Linked DNA regions of Oryzias latipes. The protein of the gene in region 1 purifies or fractionates together with the protein of each later gene. This does not show direct contact. Links are inferred from orthologs where the notes say so. Each region holds a gene or a part of one and is shown in the gene's direction. Other genes may lie near its edges.

Region 1 (4,035 bases):
TGATTATTTTTGAAACTTTAGTTTGTACTCATGTTATAAAACTGTCATTTTTTTATTTCTTATTTTAGCATCGGAATGTCATGAAACAGCACAGAACTGAGGTTGATATATTTCAAATAGATACTAAGGGGGCTCCTATTTTAGATCCTAATTTCTGTAATGCAGGTTTTTGCAGATCATGTCGATAAGTTAACCTCAAAAAGTTCTCGTCTAAAGTAGTTTGGTGGGTTTTCTTGTTATTCAGTTTTATTCTTTGGTTCAGTCAATGAGGTACTGATCCTGTTGATCCCTTTATCTATACATAACATTATTGATTCCTTATTTCTTTTATTTTTTTAGCAGACCAATTTTTATTTTGAAGTGCAAGCTCTGGCTTTTTTTGTTTTAAGAGTTTTTCCATTCATATTGACTTCTTCTCTCATCATCTAAACATCCTGAAATATTTCAAAATATTCTAGATAAAGTAAAATTGCTCTACTTTAGTTGGCATCTTGTGCCTAAACTTTAATTGGAAAACAGTGTAAAGTTAATGCTGTGACTTTACATTGCGTGAATCTGCAGCGTACAGTCCCAGCGTGCCGTAGGCCTCTGTCGGTCAGCGTTGACCATGGATGATGTATTCTAACTCTTGTCTTGTCTGGTCGTCTGAGACAACGTTGGCGGCGGATGAAAAGGCCAATCTGGGAGAGGCATTCTTTGCCGCAGAAATTGCATCTGTAGGCAGTTCCCTGGCTGTCATTGTTCCGAACCTTTCTGCAAGGTGGCTTGTCTTCTGTCACAGTGTACAGTGTAAAGTCACAGCGTACAGTTCCAGCGTGATGTTCCAGTGTAAAGCAGCTGAACAAGCAGACAGAAACAAAGAAAGTACGTCTGTCTTGATTGTTGAAAAAAGGAAATTTGTTCTGAGCTTGGAGTGAAAAAATAGTAAGCCTTGGATAAAAGACTACATTATCCTTTAAAGTCAGGCTGTGCACTCAACTCTTTACATAAAAAAGATGGATCACTCTGTAGATTTGAAGATGGATGTTGTCACTAAGAACTTGATACTGGAAAACTAATAACCCTCTTCCTTTTTTCAGTGTAATTTTCTGGCCTCCAGTGGCAGAAACCTTTTAGCAAATGCTAGATTCAATTAGTTAAATCGGAGCACATATCAGGTTGCTTTTTTGTCTCTTATTAATACTCTGTTGTTGTTATTTCTCCAGGAAGTGGTACTTCTAAGAAATTAGCCAAGAGGAATGCAGCTGCTAAGATGTTGTCACGAATACACGACGTGCCAGTAGACCTCCGAAGCACCAATGACGCCGACACGGAAGAGGACACGTTTAACATGGTGAGGGGCCGACTGCGTTGAGGAGGATCCTTGGGAATGCTTTGGTTAAATGTCCCCAAACAAACACTTAAAACACAAATGCACACAACAAAATTGTCTCTTTCATAATCCTTGATGGCACAAACGACTAGCCTGTGGATTTTTCTCCACAGCACATGGGCGGTAGAGTGGAGTCGGGCAAAGCGAAAGGCTTCAGCTGCACGTGGGACTCTCTGCGGAACTCGGCTGGAGAGAAGATCCTCCAGCTTCGCAGCCACCCTCTGGGCATGCCCTCTGACTCCAACTCCTGCGCTCTGCTGAGTGACCTGTCTGCAGAGCAGCGCTTTGATGTCAGTTACCTAGACCTAGGTGAGCCCACATGCAGTTGGAGTCGCCACTGCACCGCGCCACATCATGTGCGCACATTGAAGGAATGTGCTTGTCAAGCAGAAAAGAAAGCAAGAATTGTAAACATCTTGCTTGCGTGGAAGAGGTTCCGCATCTTATTGAAAGCAATAAACATCACTGTTGGGACGTCTTGTTTGTAGAGGGTCCCCCCCTGGGAAAATGTAAAACTCGATTGATCATTTCGTTGAAGTCAACCTCATTTTGCTATCCGCTTTATTCTATATTTGACGTTCCTCCAGGCCTTGACAGGTGGCCAGAATGCAACCTTATCTAGAATGAAGGGAAGCTTATTTACATCAAAAACTGACAATATGAACTCTCAAAACCTTATTTGGCTGAGAGAACATAGGAGATAAATGCATCATTCCAATGGGTTTTAGAGGAAAAGCTGCATTTGCTTAAACATATTTGTTGATGACTCTTGTTCATATTTATATGAAATGTAAGGCAGTTTGATTGATTACACAGATTATGTCCACCTGCACCACTTTGGGTTTTTTTTTCCTTCCAAAACTTCACATTTGGGGTTTGTTTGTTTGTCACCTTAACAACCACACTGTTGTGAAATTGCTCAAGTGTAGGTTTCATAACCTGATACTGGGGGTCACTTACCTACCGGTAGTATTTTATTGCCGTTGGATAGAAATTTATTGCAGATAAATTCATGCAAAATGTGGTCTTCCGTGAAAAGAAAAAAGTATGAAGAGTGTGTTTGCTTCACATTCTGTCCCGTCTCGTTTCAGAGGAGCGCAGCCTCAGCGGCCTGTGTCAGTGTCTGGTCGAGCTGTCCACTCAGCCAATCACGGTGTGCCACGGCTTTGCTACGAACACCGACGCCGCTCGGGCCAACGCAGCTCACAACGCACTTCAGTACCTCAAAATCATGGCAGGAGGGAAATAAGGAAACTGTTGCCTTCCTCCTGACAGATTCAAAAACTCGCCAAGTTATCATTAATAATATTATTATTTTGTAAAGGGTCAAATGAATAAATCCCAAATTGAGACTTTTTTCCTACACGTCAATCTCTGAACCCAGTTTTTAGTTTATTTTATTCTACGTCTGACACGTGCCACTGAAGATTTATCTGCCTAAAATAATCTCACGCTCATCTTCTTCGTTGATGACACCAGTTCTTTAGCTTCCCTTTCACCCACTGTGTTTTATTAAATACAGACTATTTTAGAAAGTATTCAGGTAAAACTATAAATGGAGATTCTTCATTAAGAATCCTGGTTTACAGGGAGGAAGTATAAAAAAAAAGTTTATATTCTTCCAAATGTAAAAAGTAACAAACTGCTCAATACGTGAATTATTTCAGATGTTAGTGAAGGAGCCTACCCAAGTCCTGATAAACTATTTAAACCCAACAGTTCAACACTGCCACATTTTAATGTTTAGCCATGCTATCTTTTATCTTTAAGCAAATTAGGTGTGTATTTTTGGAAACTCTTTGAGTTGTTGTCACGGTGTCATAAGTATCTGACCAACTCTGTTATAGGCCGTTCGCTAATCTGGTTCCGTTTTAAACAAATGTTCCTTTCTGACTGACAGTGAGGTGTGACCAAGCCTCACTCTATTCTAGTTATTTAACGCATCGACTTCCACATCACAGACTCGCCATATAAAGCGACCACATGTTCTAATGTGAAAATATTTATACCTCAAGACTATTACCGTGCGTGTGTTGAATGTGTAGCGTAGACTCCTTGTGTTCTCTGTCCTTGTGGATTAGGTTCTTTTAAATAAAAGAAACTTCATTTTACTGATTGTCTTTTTTGTTCTTTGATTCTGGAACGTTCCATACAGTTTGCACGTTTGTTGATAAAGGCTCTAAAATGAAAAAGTGGGATTTATTATTTAATGCAGCTTATAAGGTTTATATTATGCGGTTATACCAGCAAAGTCACAGCTGTTTTACTTCAACACAAAAGTGACAACTGACACATTTGAGAAATCCTAATATAGTTACAAAAACTTAGAAGGAAAAAACATGAAATTTTATTTTCAAAGTGCATCTGTGGCTGTTTTTTAATGAAATATTTCCTAGGCATTATTATGTTTCAACTTTTTAAAAGTTTTTCTATTATGTAGTCCACATTGTGCACTACACAACTATATGTATTCACCCAAACGTTCAAGAACTATGAAAGCATACAAAAACTTCACATCTGGATATAATATATTCAGTAACCTGAAGATCAAGGTAAATCCAAAGTTTGGAGTCATTTTCTTAGCTGTTACATTTTTAAATGGACTCTTCAGAGTAAAAGAAAAGCAGAGGTAAGGTTGTCTGTCAGCTGCTGAGTTTCTCTGC
Region 2 (3,820 bases), on another chromosome or scaffold:
TTGCGTTTTTTGTTGTTGTTGTTGTTGTTGTTTTTTGTAGAGCCCCCATCTTCCCCAGTGCCAGAATATGTGTTCAAGCCGCCATCACGGCCAGACTTTGGCACCATGGGCAGGACAATCAAGCTCCAGGCCAATTTCTTTGAGATGGAAATCCCAAAATTGGAGGTTTACCATTACGACATAGACATCAAACCTGAAAAATGCCCCAGAAGGGTGAATCGGTGAGTTCAAAGTCTGCTTTTTTTTAAACTCTCATCAGAATTGTGTGTAATTTTATGGGGATTGTCTTGACTCGCCTAATTTGTCTGCAGAGAAATTGTGGAGCACATGGTCCAGCACTTTAAAACTCAGATCTTTGGGGACCGGAAGCCGGTGTACGACGGGCGAAAGAACCTCTACACTGCCATGGCTTTGCCCATAGGCAGAGAAAAGGTTTGTTGTTTACATTATAGTTGAAACGATTTCCTCTCAATGTTAAAATGTCTCAGCAGTGGCATTTTGTATGAACCATGTAGGTGGAGCTGGAGGTGACTATTCCAGGCGAAGGCAAAGACCGCAGTTTTAAAGTTGCCATCAAATGGGTGTCTTGCGTTAGCCTGCAAGCTCTGCACGAAGCTCTGTCAGGGCGGCTTCCCAGTGTTCCCTTTGAGACTATCCAAGCCTTGGATGTGGTCATGAGACATTTGCCTTCTATGAGGTAGGTCTCTAATTGTTGTTGGAAGGATCGCCATTTCCTGTTTTGGTCTAGCTCTCTTATGTGGCCAAATGATGCCTAAGCAGTGCACAGCCGCTGCCTGTTTCCTCATGGAATTAGTTAAGATTATCACTTCTTGATTAGGATTAAACAAGATGCCACAAGCACACTACAGGAAAGTCAGCTGAATATATCAAATCTGAATTTAGTTTTTTTAAATAATGTGCCATGAGTTTGTGTTCAAGACCCAATCTGATGAAACTGGTGTTTTTAACATTTTCTGATGATTGAGAAAATGTATAAATAATAGTAAGCTCAAATGGGGGAGGAGCAGGTGGCAGGAGAGCCTGAAAACAGAGAGCTCTCAGCAACCGGGAGGGAAAATGGAGGCGGGGTTGCTCCACGCCAATAGTCCCAGTCACGTCAGAGAGGCACATTTCTAATCAACTCCTGCTTCTCTGGAGAAACTGTCCTAGAAAACCATACAGGTTTATTGATTTTAACTGAAAACGGCACAATCCTAATTTAAAGAGCCGTGCTCAAAGAGCTGCTGAAGCAGTGACGGCACACTGAGCGCCACATGGTGCACTTCAGTTCTATGCAACAAGCCTTTTGAAAGGAAACCGTTTCCATCTTGGTTCAGAACCGTTTGAAAACGGAGATGATCAGAGTGGGACTTTAAACCTCTCCTTACCAGACGTCTTATCACCGACTGTTGTCTTTTAGGTATACCCCTGTTGGGCGGTCTTTCTTTACTCCTTCAGAAGCTTGCTCAAACCCTCTGGGAGGTGGCAGAGAAGTGTGGTTTGGTTTCCATCAGTCGGTCAGGCCCTCCCTGTGGAAAATGATGCTCAACATCGACGGTAAAGTCTGCATCATATCACTTTGACAAAAGCTGCTTAGTAAAGTTGTTTCTGTTTGTCTTACATCGGTATGGTTGCTTTATTTTTTTTTTGCAGTTTCAGCCACAGCTTTCTACAAAGCTCAGCCTGTAATCGAGTTCATGTGTGAAGTTTTGGATTTTAAGAGCATTGAAGAACAACAGAAGCCTTTAACAGACTCTCAACGAGTCAAATTTACTAAAGAAATTAAAGGTAAGAAAGCTTCAGTTATAATCCAAAAAACGTTCAGTTCATGTTTGCTAAATTCATTAGTTAATCCGTTTCTTATTTTCTTGTTATAAACTAAAAAGCATTATTAAAACAAACTTAAATAATCAGCATTTCAATTATTTATCAGTTTTTAAATGCTTTTCTCATTTTTAGGCCTCAAGGTTGAGATAACTCACTGTGGACAGATGAAGAGGAAGTACAGAGTTTGCAACGTTACCAGAAGACCAGCCAGCCACCAAACGTAAATTCTCTGTACTTTTTCCATCATTTGAACCCAGACATTTAAGCTGCTCTGTTGTGCTTAGAGCACCATGTGTAGGAGAATAACAGGACAGGATGAACAGAAAAACTTGCACCTGTAAAAACAGAAATAAGATGGAACTTTTGAATCCAGCAAAGAAGTCTCCTAGTGCTAATAAAAACAAATGCTGTGTTTTTCTCCTCCTACTCACTAGGTTCCCCTTGCAACAGGAGAATGGCCAAACAATCGAATGCACAGTAGCCCAGTATTTTAAAGACAAATACAAGCTCATTCTGCGATATCCCCACCTTCCATGTTTACAGGTGGGACAAGAGCAAAAGCACACCTACCTCCCCCTAGAGGTAAGATCTACCTTTGGTCTTTGCTGTTTCACTTTCTGAAACCCAAGAAACATTTCAAGAAACATGACAATGGATTCTCTGTTTAGGTTTGTAACATTGTGGCAGGGCAGCGCTGCATCAAAAAGCTGACAGACAATCAGACTTCCACTATGATCCGTGCCACAGCCCGGTCAGCACCAGACCGCCAGGATGAGATCAGCAAACTGGTGAGAAATACCAACACAAACATCTGTGTTCCTGAAAAATATCATAAATTGAAACAGATCTAAAAAAAACAAAAGTTTGAAGCTATTAAGCCACTTTAGCATCATCTTGAGAAAATTGAAAGTTTCATATGCCTTTCAAATTTTTTGTCTGAAGAAACTATGCCAAGATGGAAATTTAATTCAGTCATGACAGTTTGAAAAACAAAATGTTGGCAGAAATAAAATGCAATCTAACCAAAAACCCAAATGGCAAATGAGTTTGTCAGATGCAAATACATCTGAGTGTTCCTGAAGTAAAAGTTATTTGTCAAAGTGTAACAGCTTCTTTAAGAACGCTGCCTTTTAACCCTTGTGCTATCTTGTGGGGTCCAGATGACGAGGGTTAAAATATCTACTCTATCGGTCCTTTTCCAAATATTGCATTTCAATAAATCTATAGAAGTTGTAAATGAATTGCAGCTCATGGTTAACCTGATAAAGGCATTTAGTGAGATACTTATTATCCCTTTTTCTTTTGTCTCTAGATGAGGAGCGCCAACTTTAACACTGACCCATACGTTCGTGAGTTTGGAGTGATGGTTCGAGATGAAATGACTGAAGTGAACGGCCGCGTCCTGCAAGCACCTTCAATACTGTACGGCGGCAGGGTACGTCTGATGATCTGCACGTCTGTGTTGTGGTCTTCATTTTTTTTGAGCACTGAAAAATAAAAACATGCTGCTGTTAAATTTGCAGAACAAGGCAATCGCCACACCGATTCAGGGGGTGTGGGACATGAGGAACAAGCAGTTCCACACTGGCATCGAGATCAAAGTGTGGGCCATCGCCTGCTTTGCCCCACAGAGACAGTGCACTGAACTCCTACTCAAGTGAGTCGCATTCTCACGATGTGTCTGCATCCTCTTCAAAAGTCATGTTTGTGTCCCACCAAACTGGTTTGATGAAAATCCACTCATAAACACGATTGGAGCATGTGTGGTCGAGATGATGTGGTGCACTTTAAGCTCCAACACTCGAAGATGTGAATGCGGAACAATATGGAGCAAAAGTTACTGCTATACGTTTTAAAAAGAATAATTAAAACTTTCAAAATGAGATTAAAAAAAATTTTTTCTCAAAATATTCTGCAGCCGGATTTGAAATGCACAAAGCTCAAAATCTTTGTTTTATCGGAGATTTCTGAAACAAATCCCAAAACTCTGGAG

Evidence for each region.
Region 2: the proteins of tarbp2 (region 1) and protein argonaute-2 purify together in Homo sapiens (co-immunoprecipitation; 10 studies listed by BioGRID and IntAct, with this or other methods). This does not show direct contact. The link is inferred for Oryzias latipes from reciprocal best matches to the Homo sapiens genes TARBP2 and AGO2.

Annotation. Positions count from the first base shown.
Region 1 is NC_019863.2:10,465,224-10,469,258, reverse strand, and holds the end of tarbp2 (RISC-loading complex subunit TARBP2), read left to right. Parts: intron 1-1,205; coding exon 1,206-1,333; intron 1,334-1,485; coding exon 1,486-1,681; intron 1,682-2,463; coding exon 2,464-2,621; 3' UTR 2,622-3,483; downstream 3,484-4,035. Other genes in the region: protein TESPA1, read right to left, coding at 4,015-4,035. UniProt on the Homo sapiens protein: Required for formation of the RNA induced silencing complex (RISC). Component of the RISC loading complex (RLC), also known as the micro-RNA (miRNA) loading complex (miRLC), which is composed of DICER1, AGO2 and TARBP2.
Region 2 is NC_019869.2:10,705,687-10,709,506, forward strand, and holds part of protein argonaute-2, read left to right. Parts: intron 1-40; coding exon 41-221; intron 222-311; coding exon 312-432; intron 433-515; coding exon 516-697; intron 698-1,420; coding exon 1,421-1,557; intron 1,558-1,653; coding exon 1,654-1,788; intron 1,789-1,959; coding exon 1,960-2,047; intron 2,048-2,261; coding exon 2,262-2,409; intron 2,410-2,495; coding exon 2,496-2,615; intron 2,616-3,139; coding exon 3,140-3,262; intron 3,263-3,350; coding exon 3,351-3,484; intron 3,485-3,820.